Linked DNA regions of Lonchura striata. The protein of the gene in region 1 purifies or fractionates together with the protein of each later gene. This does not show direct contact. Links are inferred from orthologs where the notes say so. Each region holds a gene or a part of one and is shown on either strand. Other genes may lie near its edges.

Region 1 (8,139 bases):
TAGACTTGCAGAGAGCATTCACCAGACGGGAACATGGCCACAGTATCTTTATGCTTTCATTATGCCTCCTATATTCACTGTTACTATGCAATATGCTCTGCTTTCAGTATATTTTTAAAAATAATTTTCCTTGACATCATGCTTAGAATATTATACACTTATAATCTAAGCTCATGCAAAGACAGAGCTGGGAAGAGAAATAAGCTTATTTGGATTTATTGCTAAAAGGGCTGATATTATAGCACTAGTGCCTCCAAGGAACAAAGAATCACCTACAGGTTGTCAGACAGTATTTTTAATACTCTAATTCTGAACCAAATCCCTAAAATAACCTGTGTTTGCAGATTACCGTGTGCTCTTTTGTTCTGAATAATGTCTTGCTTAGTGAGCTGTGTCTTATCAATCCACCAAGTACTGGGTGTCATTGTTCACCTCATTCACAATTCATCTTTTAATTAACATTATCACAGGAAAAATTCTATTTTGGTCAGCATAATTTGTCTTTGGAATTGGCAGCACAGAAATAAAAGAATTACCATCTGAATTTATCTGAAGACTATGAAGGAGATGGTGACTACAAACCTACCTCATCTGGCACTGAAGAGGAAGGGAGGAAAACCATGTAAATGATAATGGCTTTTAAAATTGTATTTGCTATGTAAAAATCACTACTTTGGTCATTCAGTATCTACTAAGCAAACAGTTTCATCAAAATTACTGTTACTGAAAATACAAACCGGAATTCTACATTTAGATACATACTTTTTTTTAGTGGAAAGGGTTGCTGACTTAGGGAAGATTTAGGAGATACAAATGTCTTTTCAAAGTGATGGTTTTAGATATAGGTATGTAATATCAACTTCATGCAGCAAAATGATGACCATTTGCTTTAATAGTTAAACCTCAAATTAAGTTGCAAATGCATCATTGTTTTAGTGAACAGCCACGGAAGTGCTTTTAAAAAGTTTTTTTAACTGTACCAGGAAACATTCCACAAAGAATTGAAGCATTTCTGAATCCTTCTCACAAGACTCACCTTTCATAATGATTTACAGAAAACTCCATTAAATAGCATGTTGTTTTTCTGAGTCTTCTTTATAGACATTTATCCCCGCAGTCTAGATATGCAGTATTTTTATATTTACATTCAAATTAATACAATTATGTCAAATTGACTGCATCTAAGGTACAATGAACACACCAGCAAACCAGCTGCTTAAAAATTCCCTCCAACATCCCTTTACCTCTTGATTTCATCCATTTCTAATTGAAAATGCAACAGGCCCTGAAGATGATCACGTTCAAGCAGCATTCAGCCAGGATAACAAGAATTATTGTATGCTGAGCCTTCTGGAGTGTGCCCTACTGGACACAGCTGGGCTTCAGCTTGGCTGCCATGGGTGAGTTCTGGTGCATCAAGTAGCAGTCTTCTAGTGGGTGTTTCATTAGTACCTTCTAAAACAGATTTAAGAAAGGAACCATCAGTATCCCCTGTGACAAATATTAATTTCCTCAGTTATGCCTATTGTGCTGGTTTAGGATGGAGTAGAGTTATTTTTCTTCCCAGTGGTTCTCTAGTATGGGGCTCTATTTTGGATTTATGCTGATAATATGGGTTGATAATATGGAGATGTTTTTTGTTATTGCTGAGCAGGGCTTACACAGAGCCAACGTCTTTTTTGTGCTGCCACACTGGTAAGGAAGTTGTGGGTGCATGGGGTATTGGGAGGAGACACAGCTCGGACAGGTGACCTCGACTGACCAAAGGGATATTCAGACCATAGGATGTCATGCTCACTGTACAAAGTGGGGGGCAGCAGGAACAGGAAGGAACTTTTTGAGTGATGGTGTTTGTCTTTCCAAATAAATGCTACATGTGATTGAGCCCTGCTTTCCTGGAGATGGCTGAACAGCTGCCTGCCCTTAGGAAGTAGTGAACTGATTCCTTGCTTTTATTTGTTTATGAGTGCAGCTTTTGCTTTACCCATTAAATTGTCTTTATCTCAAGCCACAAGTTTTCTACCTTTTACCCTCCCAATTTTTTCCCCAATCCTACTGGTTGGGGGGTAAGCAAGTGGCTGTGTGTTGCTTGGTTGCCGTCTGGGGTTCAACCAGGGCACCATTGTGTTCCTAATGGACACAGCATTTATTAGACCTCAATTAAATTAATTGAACCCCAGTCAAACTACCATTTAGGTTTTGGTTTCTTTATTTTTTTCTCCTTTTTATTTTTTAATGGCAGAGGCAAGCAGTGCTTGAACAGACAGGTCAGGAGATGAAAGAGGTATAGATGACATCTGCATCTTTCATAACCATGGTCTGTAGCATTCTATGGGCTATCTTTTGTGTTGAAAGCATGGTGAGACCCAGAAACATCTCAACTAGAGCAGAGAAATGCCATGAAAGTTTAATATTAACCCTACTGAAACATTAAAATTGCCTCGATTTCTCTTTTTCAGTAATACACTTGGTAAGAGTTAGGCTTTTTGGCAGAAGATAAAGGCAGTCTCCTAAACCTTAATTATTACTCCTGAGTTTGAATGGTGTCTTTGCTTATGAAGTAAATGACACAGGCTAAATGTTATGGAAAATTCTTCCCAAAGTTGTAGAAAAAGATACTCAGGAAATTGTTATGTTCATATAGAAATAATGGCTTTGCAGGCTAATTTCTGTTTGTGTTGCCCACTTTACTAGGTAAAATAAGATGCCTTTCACATTAGTAAACTCCAGGATTTTTCTAACATTTTCTTCATGCAGCCCAGAAAGGGAAACAATTAAGTCATACAGCTTTCCTTCACCCTGCGCTATTTTCCAAAGAAGACTCATCTTCTGTATTCCTTAGGCATGCACAGTGCATGAATGAGAAACAGCGTGGGCTTTACTGATCTTCTAAGGAATATATAATTATTTTCTGTGTTTTAAGAACAATTACTTAAGAAATGGAAAAGGAGATAAAAATATAGTAAAATATGTACCCTGCATATAGGAAGGGTACATACAAAAGGAATTTATACTTATTCTTGGGAAATTTGATATGTAAATTATTAATTGAGGAGAGAATGAGGGAGAGGAAAGGAGATAAAAAAGGGAAGAAGCAACTATGCATACTCACTGTGAGAATGCTTACCAAGTTTTAAGGAATATAAGATGTGAAGTGTCATTCACTCTCAATGCACAGCTTTTTTAACTTAGCACTGTTTGGCAAAGGCAACATTTCAAGGTGCCTTTAGCTGCAGGCACCTGCAGGCAGTTATGACTTGGTCTGCCTTTCCTACATATTTATTCCCCTCCCATGCATTGTCTAGATTTGGAAGTGTAAATTCTCCAGAGCAGAGATTTCCTCAGCAGGATTTGCTAGGTGAGGGTCCTGTTGGATGGGTCCTTATCTCAGACATGAAGGCTGATAGGATGTGCGAGGTCGAAATAGTACTCCTTTGTGCATGATGGTTATGTCCATGCAGAAGTTGCCAGCAAGTGAAGGAAGGTGTGTTTTAAAAACCTCAGCACACTCAGGCGCCCATGGCTGCAGGCACGGTCAGACACGTCTGCTTGGTTTGGGCCCAGCTGTAATTACAGAGGTGCAAGGCAAGCCCATGGGTACAGCAGTGGTACAACAGGTTTTCAGAAAGTCCTCGTAAGATGTCGAGCCTGAATGTGCTGAAAAGGAGTTATGGAGGATGATTGTTTGCTGGGTTTGGTGGTGTTGACTTGTTTTTTGAGAGGCAGACTGGCATCCTCATTTGAATGAGCAAGCCACACCTCAGTTTGGGTTGTCCCCTGGAAGCTGAGCAACAGAATTTATGGCTTCTGCTATTTAGTAATACTTGTCTTAAAGCCACAGTTGCCATGTTCATATAATTTACTGGTTTATTTTCTTTCCACCCGCACTGAATGTTGGAGGCTTCCAGGAAGCCCTCACTGCCCACTGGCAGTGCTGACAAGGGCATTTCAGCTGAGAGGGGCACCCAGCTTTGCCAGCCGCACTGGAAATTACCCCAGTCCCAGACATCGCTTTGCACTGCGGGAGACTGGTGAACGACGAGCTGATGGTGCTAGTGTTCAACAAGCGTCCTTGGGGCCAAGGCAGCCAACAAAATCCTGGAGTGCATAACGAAGAGCATTGCCAGCAGGTCAGGGGAGGTGATCCTGCCCCTCTCTTCAGCTCTGGTGAAGCATCATCTGGAGTGCTGTGTTCGGTTCTGGGCTCCTCAGTACAAAAGAGACGTGGAGCTTCTGCAGCAGGTCACATGGAGGGCAGTGAGGATGACTGAGAGACTGGGGGGATCTCTCTTATGAGGAAAGGCTGAGGGAGCTGGGCCTGTTCAGCCTCAAGGAGAGATGACTGAGAGGTGACCTCGTCAATGTCTATCAGGATGTGAAGGGAGGGTGTCAAGAGGGTGGAGCTGGGCTCTTCTCAGTGGTGCCGAGCAATAGGACAAGAGGCAAGGACTAGAAACTGATGCACAGAACTTCCACCTGAACTAGAGGAAGAACTTTACAGTGCAGTGACTGAGCACTGGAACGGATTGCTCAGAGAGGTTGTGGAGTCTCCCTCACTGGAGATACTCAAGAACCGTCGGAAAGAAAACCTGTGCCGTGTGCTGTGGGATGACCCTGCTTGAGCAAGGGAGGTTGGACCAGATGTGGCAGCTTCCAGCCTGACCCAGCCCGCGAGGCGAGCAGGGCGGGCGGGGGCGGGTCCCGCAGACGGCCGCGGGCACGGAGCGCCGAGCGGCGGCCGGGCGGCGCCGGGGAAGGACTGCAGCCCCCAGAGCGCGGCGCGGCGGCCGGTGACGTGCGGGAGGCGGGGCGGAAGTGTGTGTTCCCCGGGCTGGGCGGCCGCCCGGACCCCGTTCCGGCTGTCCCGGCCTCGGCCTCGGCGGCGCGGGGCAGGGGGCAGGAGGAGGGAGAAGATGGCGGCGGAGCTGGAGGCGGAGGTGCAGGCCATTGACAAGAGCCTGCTGGAGTGCTCCGCCGAGGAGATCGCCGTGGTGAGGCGGCGGGCCCGGCGCGGGGAGGGAGCGGGGGCTCGGAGGCCGCGGCAGGCACCGGCCTGGGCGCCGCTCCCGGGGCCGGGGCGAGGCCGCTCCGCGGGGCGAGCGGGCTCTCCGGAGCGGAGCCGCCCTCTGAGGGCAGCCCCGGCCGGCAGCGCTGTCCCGCCGCGGCCTCGGCGCGCTGTCGTCGCCAGCGTCGCTGTTGCCGCAGCCGAAGTCCATGGCAGCGATCAGCCAGCTTTTCTTGTTGTGCCGGCTGCCGCAGGTGGCTCCTGGAAGCCGCCTGGACGTGGCCATCCCCTGCCGGGGGCGGCCGGGCATCTCGCCCCTTCCGTAATTGCTTCCTGAAGTTCCCTTCCCTCTGCTGCCCCTTCGCCTCTCTCTGCCGGCAGTCACGCCTGGACCTGAGCAGATCCCCCTCCCTGTTAATTTAGGTGGATGTCTGACCCCAAATACGCTGTACAGTGTTGAAGTGCCATTACAGGGTTCTTCCTTCCTCCCCACTATTTAAGATGCGGTTCTGGAAAAGCTTGCAGTAGTTAATCTTAGGATTATTAGAATGGGGTGCTTGTAGAGGAAATATTAGTAAAATCAGTGTAATAAATGAAGAAATCTACTTCTCTTTATATACTTTTCCTGCTTTTACAAATAGTAGTTGAAAGAGGAATGTAGTGTCGAAGGTAAAGTCTTAGGAGTAAGTTTTGTTTCTAACATAAATGTTTGTCCACTTAGACACTTGGGCATTTGAGGAATTGGATGTATGTGTTAAACGTATTGAGACTGCTCATGTGCATATTGGTAGGATAAAACCTTGAAGAGCTGTCTGTGTGTGTCTCAGTGGGAATTACATTGGCTGCTTTCCAAATGAAAATAAAAGACTGTTATAATTCAGATTATCCTCAGATTATGCTTGTATATCTTCAGTGCAGACAAACGTATGATTAGATGGGCAAATGTGTATAGTTAGCTATATCCTAGCTAGTTTAGCTCCAGGATTAGTCTTCCTTCTTTTCTACAGCAAACCAAATAATTTCATCAAACATTTATAAAGTAGTCCAAATTGAGCCCAAATTACCTTTTCTGTGTGAATAGCAGATGGTTTTTTTGGGTCACACTGTAGGTAAACTCAAGGCAATCATGCACCCAGGGGAATGCGTTTAGGAATTTGCTGTAGGTAGCAGTGCCAGCTTAAATGTAGTCAAATCTCATTTTTATTATCTGTAATCACCTGCACAAGATCCAATTCTGAAATCTATCATTCAAATCTAGTGGGTTTTTCTGCCTCCTTTGCTGATAGCATTACTTTGCCGATAGCCCAGTATTTACAAAACAAATACCATCCCAAAGCAATAGTTACAGCACTTAAGTCTTCAGTTTGTTGTGGTAACAACTTAATGATAAACTTCCAAAGAACAAAAATAATAAAAATAAATTCTCTTTAACATAACAGGAACCTACATTGCAAGTATTTCTTTTTTCATGTAGCTAAAAAGCTCATAAATCATAGCTTTTAGCTTTTGAAACAGAGAAGTGAGTTATTTTATGGCTTATTAGTATTCTACGTTTTGTTCTCCTGGTGTCTCTTACTTAGATGGGAATTTAATAGAAACCCTGATGAACCATTAGGTATTTATTTATGTAAGGTGTTTGATCAATACTTTGCACATTCTTTTTCTCTCAGGGCAGTTAAAGTTGTTGCAGGAGAATAAGTGTGAGGAGGGAGGAAGTGAAGAGGAGCACACTTCCCTTTTTAATAAAAAACCTCTCTTGGGAGAGTAGAATGTTAGCATTTCTTGCATGTGATTTCAGGTTAGAGGATAGACAAACACTAATTGAAATCTTGCCTAAATGCAGAATGCTTTTGTGAAAGAGCAAATTCCGAAGTTTTGAGTAGCTTTTCTGGAGTTCAGTGCTCCCCAGGTAGTGATTTAGAAAGACAATGCAACGTATGTATACCTATGTATATATTTCTATTTACAGTCTTACTTGCACAACAGACCTTTGCAGACCTTCCTGGCAGCTCTTAGAGTCACATCTGTTTCCTTGTCCTAGTAGCCTGGATTTCCTTCTGGTATTATTTCATCCATGATCTGATTTCCAAAGCTGTATGCACGGTTGTGTGTATAGAACTGGCTTCACAAACAGATTTAGGTGTGATGATGTTCATCATTGCCACACCTAACTCTCACATAGCTACTCCCAGAATTTTTGAGATGGGAAAGCCATTTACTTGAGGAACAAGAATTTTCTGTGTCTAGGTATTCGTCTGAGCTTGTAGTGTAGCTAGTATGCACTGTGTGTTTTCTAGATAGAAATTAGTAATATACTGCTGAATTAAAAGACTGATGTTAAAGATATTTTGCTGAAAAATTCCTGCAGTTTAATAACTAGCATATGCTATAGAAAATAATGCAAAACCAAGATTATTAAATGGAAATCATGGAAATGATTAAGTCACTGCCACTGTGATTGGGTCGGTTCCTGGCAGTAGTAGCAATTTGGCAAAACTGATGAAAGGAGAGGAAAAGATGAATGAACTGGTGAGAAAAATAAATTTTTTATTTAAAACTTTACCTTTTTTTTGGCTAAGGCTTTTTGGCATCCTCTTCCCATGGAATTCCTTGGGAAAAAACTGGGCTTTGACCATCAAAGCTAGATGAATGTAGAAAGATTTAAGCAGTTCAATCATTATTCTAAGAAGTCAAACTTAGGAAAAAAGAAATGAAGAATGCACCCTGACAAATTAGGGTTTTTTAAAATACCAAGTTCTACTTCAGAAAAACATACCTAATAAATGGAACTACTTCAATGTATTAAAAAAAGGCAAAAATGTAGCCAGTCTGCACAGATGCTCAGCTGACTCTGAATGTCTGTATCCTGAGGAACTTACTACAACTGTTATCTCAAACATAAGTTCTTTAGAGTAAGTTATAAATAATTCAGAGTAAATCAAGCTCTAACATTTGATCACCAAACCCATTTATTTTGGCATAATGAATTCTGTGTTTTCTTGTACAGTTTTAGGTTGATTTTGAACTCTTTTTTTGAAAGTTGCCAGGGGGCATCTGGTTGTCACATTTACAATGAAAAATGGCATGCTGAGGCTGTTTATGTAACACAAGATTTAATCAGTGGACACTTGCAG
Region 2 (7,534 bases), on another chromosome or scaffold:
CAGTAATATCCACATTTTATACATATTTTCTCATTCTAGATTAGAATATACACAAAGCATTACATGCAGATTATCAACACTCTGAAAGACAGATCTACAAGGCAACACACATCAAGATTTTCTCGTGTTTTACATGGAGACACAAGGGCACAAGAGGTCTGATTAGGTGTTCAGGGAGCAAAGGATTAGCTGTAAGAATAACTTATAGCACCCGGACAGCTGGGATTTATGGTGCTACACTGTGAACTATGAGAGAGCAACTGCTGCTGGCTGCCACAGTGAATTGGAGAACAAGCTGCAGCCACAACCAGGAGCTGAAATCCAGGCAGTGACACACACACACAGAGCACTCTTGCTGGGACTCAAGGCAAAGGACCGTCAGCGGAGCTTTTCCTGCATACCCAGACCCATGCATGACAAGTGGCTAAATTTGGTATAAGCCTATTTCAACTGACAAGCTGATTGCTTCAAAAGGGAGCAAAGGGGAAACCTGTGTGCTGCTACCCCCTCTTACCAGTCCCACAAACGTGTTTATCTCTAAAGCAATTACGGGAACATGTGAAATTATTTTTAGTTCCTTAATCCTCGGACTAGGGAAAAGCATGTTACCTACTGAAAGCTTCACTAACAGAAATATGTACTGCAGCCAGAGGGCAGGATCCAAATGCCCCCCCTGCCCATCACTGCTCCATATTAAGGATCACAAGACCCTGATGAATGTACACCAGCAGGCCCCAATCAATCCACCTGCTCAAACCCCCTCAGTGACAGCTCCTACTCCCCTCACCTGTTTTGCCTCCGGAGTTATCCAATAAGGAAAATGCAGTGACTGCCCTTGTGTCACAAACAACTCTTGAGTGTTACCATGTGGCTCGATAATATCACAGCACACTTATAAACAAGTCACTACAAAAAGCTCTGCAGACCAAGGGACAAATTCTCACTAAATGCCATATGCAGATTTATTGAGAGCTGTCAGCAGCACAGCCAGGCAACCCTCCCTGCACTTGCCCTGCCTCAGCCTGGGGTAACACCGTGTGTTGTCCAAAGATGCTGAGGGCCCTGAAGCTGCTCAGAGCCCCTTTAAACTCTGTGTTTACATCTCTGCTCTTTGAGCACACACAGTCCAGACCGCTGAATATCAGCAGCATAAACCACCTACTATTTTGGTCAGGGAAAGCAGGAACAGGACTTCTTCCTACGTGACAGCCAGGCTGCAGGCCAGCAGCAATGCCTGAGTGTTAGCCTGCCAAGTGCATCTGGGAGATGACTTTGGTTTTTAGATCAACTTCAAAGCATGTGTGCACCCTACTTGTCACAGGGTCTAACTACAGAACGGATCTGGCAAGGACTGCAAATAGGACTAATCCTGAAAGTCCTAAACAGTAGGGAAAATGTGGTTTTAGTACGCCCTTTTTATCAGCAAAGTAAATAAATAACCTTTTATTTCTTTTGGTTTATTCAAACAAATTAGAGGAGGTAAGAAATCTGCTGAACTCTTCTCTCTTGACTGCTCCTGACAATCACAGTATGCAAAAGCAGTTTGTATTTATTGAAGTGAATCAGAGTTCACAGCACACCGTCTGTTCTTTCAGTATGAAGTATAATAACATAAACAAATACACAACTTGCAGCACAGAAGAGCAGAGTAAAACAAAAACTAATATGAAAAAGTTACATAAGTTTTGGAATATAAAAGCCGCTAAATATATGACTGATGGATTTGATTTACATTGTCTACTTGGTTATATTTTTCCACAGCTTTAGAGTCTTCTCTCGAGCCTTAATTCCAAAATTATTAAACCAGTCCCTGTAGGAATACAAAAGCATAAAACCCACATCTGATTGCAATCTTGAAAAATTGAGGTAGTCAGCCTGAAAAAAAAAATCACTGATTCATCTGTGTAACCAAATACAATAAAAAGTCTGAATATCCTGTTTTGATTTGAACAGGAATCAAGCAACACCCACTTAACAAACACCAACACTCGCACAAACAGCAGGGGAGGGCTCCACTTCCCAAAAACCTCCTACTGCTTCTGGATTCACGAATCAGATTTTTGTCGCTGTTGCTGTTGTGCAGCCACGTAAAGCAACTACAATACACGTCAAGTGTTAACTGATGTGTCCGCAGGGCCTGGTATAACATAGCCATGCTAAAAAAAGAGACACTATCAAAGCTGACTCACCTCCAACTACTGCTGAGTGACCCAGCCTGGAGAACTCTTACTGTACATCTTACAAGGAAACCTCCCACCCCTTTCCACACTCTAAGTATGTTTACGTGTCAGACTGGAAATAATGTATTCCAGAGTCAGTGGTTCAGTCATTAACATTTAAAAGAGTGCAACTAATAAGCGCTCCTTTAGCAGTTCGCATATATTACACAAGACTCCTCATGATTGCAAACTTTAAACACAGTATCACATGATTGTGCATAAAAACACAAAAGGTCATTTTGGCTCTTACTACATACAAACGAAGCGTTCGCCAATTCTCTGCGCTTCGTTTCCAGGTGCCTATCGCTACGAACTTCTTTCCAGAGAGACCCTGCGACCCAGCAAGCCTGGAACGCTTCTGAATTCCGGCCGAGCCATTCCACAGCCGGAGCCCGCGGGTGGCGGGCCGGGCGGACGGGCACGGCCGTGCCAGCCGAGCCGGGCCGAGCCGGGCCGAGCCGGGCCGAGCCCGCGTCCCCCCGCCAGCCCGGCGCCCCCGGCCCCGCGGGCGCTGCCGGCCCGCCCCGCTCGCAGCTCCAACTTCTATCCTCAGACGCCCCCAGCCGTCGGCGCCGGCCGAGCCGGCTCGAACAAAGCCGGCGCTGCCCCCGCTCCCCCCGGCACTCCGCTCCCCTGCCCGGGCGGCTCGGGGCCAGCCCCGGGCCCGGCAGGAAGGCGCGGGCAGCGGCGTGTGCGGGCCCCGCTCACCTCTTGAAGTCGCGCATGAGGCGGCGGCGCGCCGGGGTGGACATGGCGGAGCCGCGGCGCCGCCTCCCGCCCGCGCCCGCTGCGCCCGCACAAACAACCCGCAATGGCGGCGGCGCGCGCGGGGCGGGGCCGCGCCGGCCGCACCACTGCGGCACCGGGGGGGGCGGGACCGCACCATCGCGCCGCGCGGGGGGTGCGCGGGGAGGCGGGTGCGCGCGGCTCCGCGCTCGGCGGAGTTTGGGGAGAGGCAGCGGGAAAAGGGACTGGGAAAGGGACCGGGAGAGAGCCGGGAAAGGGTCCGGGAGAGAGCCGGGAAAGGGTCCGGGAGAGAGCCGGGAAAGGGACCGGGAGAGAGCCGGGAAAGGGACCGGGAGAGAGCCGGGAAAGGGTCCGGGAGAGAGCCGGGACTGGACCGGGAAAGGGTCCGGGAGAGAGCCGGGAAAGGGTCCGGGAGAGAGCCGGGAAAGGGTCCGGGACAGAGCCGGGAAAGGGTCCGGGAGAGAGCCGGGACTGGGACCGGGAGAGAGCCGGGACTGGACCGGGAAAGGGTCCGGGAGAGAGCCGGGAAAGGGACCGGGAGGGAGCCGGGAAAGGGTCTGGGAGAGAGCCGGGAAAGGGTCTGGGAGAGAGCCGGGAAAGGGTCCGGGAGAGAGCCGGGACTGGACCGGGAAAGGGTCCGGGAGGGAGCCGGGAAAGGGTCTGGGAGAGAGCCGGGAAAGGGACCGGGCGAGAGCTGGGAAAGGGTCCGGGAGAGAGCCGGGACTGGACCGGGAAAGGGCCCGGGAGGGAGCCGGGAAAGGGTCTGGGAGAGAGCCGGGAAAGGGACCGGGCGAGAGCTGGGAAAGGGACCGGGAGAGAGCCGGGACTGCTGGGACAGGGACCGGGACAGGGTTCGGGAGCGAGCCGGGACTGGGACCGGGAAAGGGTCCGGGAGGGAGCCGGGAAAGGGTCTGGGAGAGAGCCGGGACTGGGACCGGGAAAGGGACCGGGAGAGAGCCAGGAAAGGGTCCGGGAGAGAGCCGGGACTGGGACCGGGAAAGAGTCCGGGAGAGAGCCGGGACTGCCGGGATAAGGGCTGGGACAGGGCTCGGGAGAGAGCCGGGACTGCGGCACCCCAGGAGTGCCGGGACAGGGTCCGGGAGGAGCCGGGAGTGCCCAGCCCGGCGCTGCCCGGGCGTTTCAGCCCACGCGTGGGGCCGGTGGGGTTTTCTCCTTGCCAGACACACCAGCTCACTGTGATCAGCTGAACGTCTGCAAAGTACAGAAACTATTAGTCGTGGTCAGATTGCAAGGTTGTACATTTCGAGTCTTGCTTCTATGCTGTGTATTCAGCCCACTCCCACTATTTGCAGTAACTGGAGGTTTTAAAAATTTAGTTCTTATCAAATTTTAATTAGGGATAATGGTCCATTTTGCCATATGGGCCTCTCAGCATCTCTCGAAGTTCCCTCTAAATACAGGCTGATGTCCTGGCTCTCAGCCCTTTTTAAAAATCCCATTACTCCAACAGACAGAGCAGGTCTCTTTGAAGTCGTGACCCAGTTCTTACAAGCAGTCTTGGAAGTTATCCCTGAACTTGGATTTGTGTGGTTACATGTGCCTCCCTGCTTTTTTTTTTTCCAGATGATTTTAAGGAGGTCAAACCATCATGGGACGTATAATGAAATGACAGAAATAAACACTGCCTGTCCATTCCCTTTGCCTGCAGCCATCCAGGTGGTGGAACAGCATCAGCCCAGGGTTTAACAGCACAAAGCTCAGTACTGCCTTTTCACCAAGTTAATGCCAGCCCTGCTGCAGCAGCACCACTGACTGGGTTATTTATAAGTTGAATTCACATTTCACATGGGGTGGGATTTAACTCTGCAAAGATTTATTCAGACCACTTTAATCCAATGTCCCACCTTAGTGAAAACAGTCAGATGGCAAAAGTGAGGAATTCACACAAAGCCTGGTACTGCAGGGGAGCAAGCTTTTCCAAAAGATTTGGTAATAAGAAACTATAATACCCCAGCCACTAAAACATTATTCCCCACACTAGTGAGGAATGGTTCCTGGCAAGCAATCCCCTCCTCTGGACTCTCCTCCTCCTCCTCATCCTCCCACCACACACGTTCCAGTTTTCATTCCACTGCTGCTCCTTTACCTTTATCCAGCTTTTATTTCACTCCTGTTAACTTGGGAGGGAGAAAGCAATCTGTGACAACCAATGCAAGCTTGGACCTGTACACAAAATGAAGGTCACAACAACATTGATTAATTCAGTATTAGCAGGCACTGCTTCAAAGCCCAGACAGGGCATCCCCTGTGCCCAGGGCAGCTCTTTGCCTTTGAAGCCCAAGTCACACTCAGCCTGTGCAGGGAAATAAACAAAAAACTGAACAGCAGCACCAAGCTGGATTGAATCTGAAATCCCTTGTTGTTTCCACATGGCTTGGGAACTTTTTCAGCAATGTCTCATCAGGGACAATATTTATTCTCCTCTGACACCACTGAGGAACAGTGTATTGATGTTATCTAATAGAATATTTTAATCCTACCTGGCAGTAACATGTGTAGCAATCAGTCCCAACTAACCATAAAATATAGGTTCTGGCCTTGCAAAGGTGGTTTAATATGTCTCAAAATGAAATCTGCACTAAATATCCACTTTAGATTTGTATCTGGTGATAATTATTTCTAGTACTTCCTTGCCTAATGAACTTAAATGCATCACTGCCATTATAATGTCACTATGGGCATTTTAGTTCGAATGTTTTCAATTTATCATGTACTTGTAACACACTGACTTCCATTGATGAGTGGAAAGAACAATTGCAATACTAACTTTGTCATTTGGTTCCTGGAGAGGTTTTTTTTTCCTGTGCAACCATTAAAGTTATCCACTGTAACAGTGCTTCAAACACTTGGAAAAAATCCTTTCACAATCTGTGGTCTAGAACAGAAAGTAATGTGTTCATTCCTAAATAATACTGGGATGGCTATAACAACTTCCTGATCAGAAAGCTGTTTCAAGTTCAATTTTTATTTCTATTTTTTTTAATGCCATTTGATAGGGCATTTTTATAATTTTAAAAATATTAATATTTTAATACATTTTGGTTTATAGTTTTATGATTTTAAATATCAACATAATTTTAATAATTTAATTTTTTACAGCACAATTTATATTAATCTTGAGTAAGTACTAGATCCTTGTGCAGCATTTCACAAACCAAAACAATTTCTAAGGTAACTTTGACCCATCATGAGAGGATGTGTGTGAGCTGGGTGAGTTCCTGGTGTCCTGCCTGGGAGCTGCTGGAGCTGCTTCCATCCCGGAGCTCTTGCGTGTCCTCAGCCCCACCCAGCCATGGGAGAGGGACAGCAGAGCTGGCTGAGAGGCTTCTCCCATGTGAAAAGCGCCAATCGCTTGTTTAAAAGTTTTAAAAGTTTAATGGTAATAAAATAGTTATAAAAAAACATTAATAAAAATTAGGGCAATAAGAATTTCGACAATCAGAGCTAGGACAATAAAGGACAATAAAAAGCAAAGAATTACGGACGTCTGGATGCTTTCCTCAAGAAAACATGGCTCGCTAACAAAGGATTAACTCTTAAAAGCAATAGCCTGTTGCATATTTATATATCTCATACATGATGCAAATATTCCTTTCAAACTAGGAATTTTTTCTGTCAGCTCCTCCCCTCATCTTATAGATGAATCCTTTTGGCTCTGGGGTGTCTGGAAGAAGGCTGTATAGTCCGATCAAGAGGCAATAAATCTTGTCTTAGGATTTTTTTTTTTTTTTTGTCTTGTTGCTGTTATCTCTATGTGAAGAGTTTCTTGGGTTATCTTATCCATTCCTTATGCTGGTCACAAAAATATGAACAGCACATAGCTTCTATTTTAATTTTCTTCATTAAGAAGATTTACAATAATGAAGAATATTTACATCATATAGCTTCTATTTTAACATTATGCTATAATCTAAAACTATATTTAGCACACTACATAAAAAGGATGAATACAGTACTACAAAATAACTTTCCAACATAACACATATAGTATTCCATTTAATATTTGTGAAGAGCCAGCCATTTAGTCTGCATTTTTCACAGGCCATCCTTGGAGCTCCTTTTGTCTCTGAGTGCCTGGAAGAAGGCTGTATGGTCTGATAAAGAGGCAATAAATCTTGTTTTAGGATTTTTTTTTTTTTGTCTTGTTGCTGTTATCTCTATGCAAAGAGTTTCTTGGTTATCTTATCCATTCCTTATGACCAGCACATAGCTTCTATTTTAATATTCTTCATTAAGAATATTTACAGTAATGAAGAATATTTACATCATACAGCTTCTATTTTAATATTATGCTATAATCTAAAACTATATTTAACACACTACTTAAAAGGATGAATACTACAAAATAACTTTCCAACATAACACATACAGTATTCCATTTAATATTTGTGAAGAGCCAGCCATTTAATCTGCATTTCTCACACGCCAGCTCTGTGGTTTGGGGCCATCCTGGGAGCTCGCCCAGTGCCCAATTCTCCCTGAAAAGCTCAGCTTGAGTTCAGACCTCTGCCTGTGAAAAGCCCACAAGAATTTCAGTCTGGACGTGG

What was found.
Region 2: the proteins of UBR2 (region 1) and UBE2B purify together in Homo sapiens (affinity purification with western blotting; 3 studies listed by BioGRID, with this or other methods). This does not show direct contact. The link is inferred for Lonchura striata from reciprocal best matches to the Homo sapiens genes UBR2 and UBE2B.

Annotation. Positions count from the first base shown.
Region 1 is NC_134605.1:13,034,713-13,042,851, forward strand, and holds the start of UBR2 (E3 ubiquitin-protein ligase UBR2), read left to right. Parts: upstream 1-4,805; 5' UTR 4,806-4,913; coding exon 4,914-4,991; intron 4,992-8,139. UniProt on the Homo sapiens protein: E3 ubiquitin-protein ligase which is a component of the N-end rule pathway.
Region 2 is NC_134617.1:9,523,038-9,530,571, forward strand, and holds the start of UBE2B (ubiquitin-conjugating enzyme E2 B), read right to left. Parts: upstream 3,039-7,534; 5' UTR 2,972-3,038; coding exon 2,928-2,971; intron 1-2,927. UniProt on the Homo sapiens protein: E2 ubiquitin-conjugating enzyme that accepts ubiquitin from the ubiquitin-activating enzyme E1 and transfers it to a E3 ubiquitin-protein ligase. In vitro catalyzes 'Lys-11'-, as well as 'Lys-48'- and 'Lys-63'-linked polyubiquitination.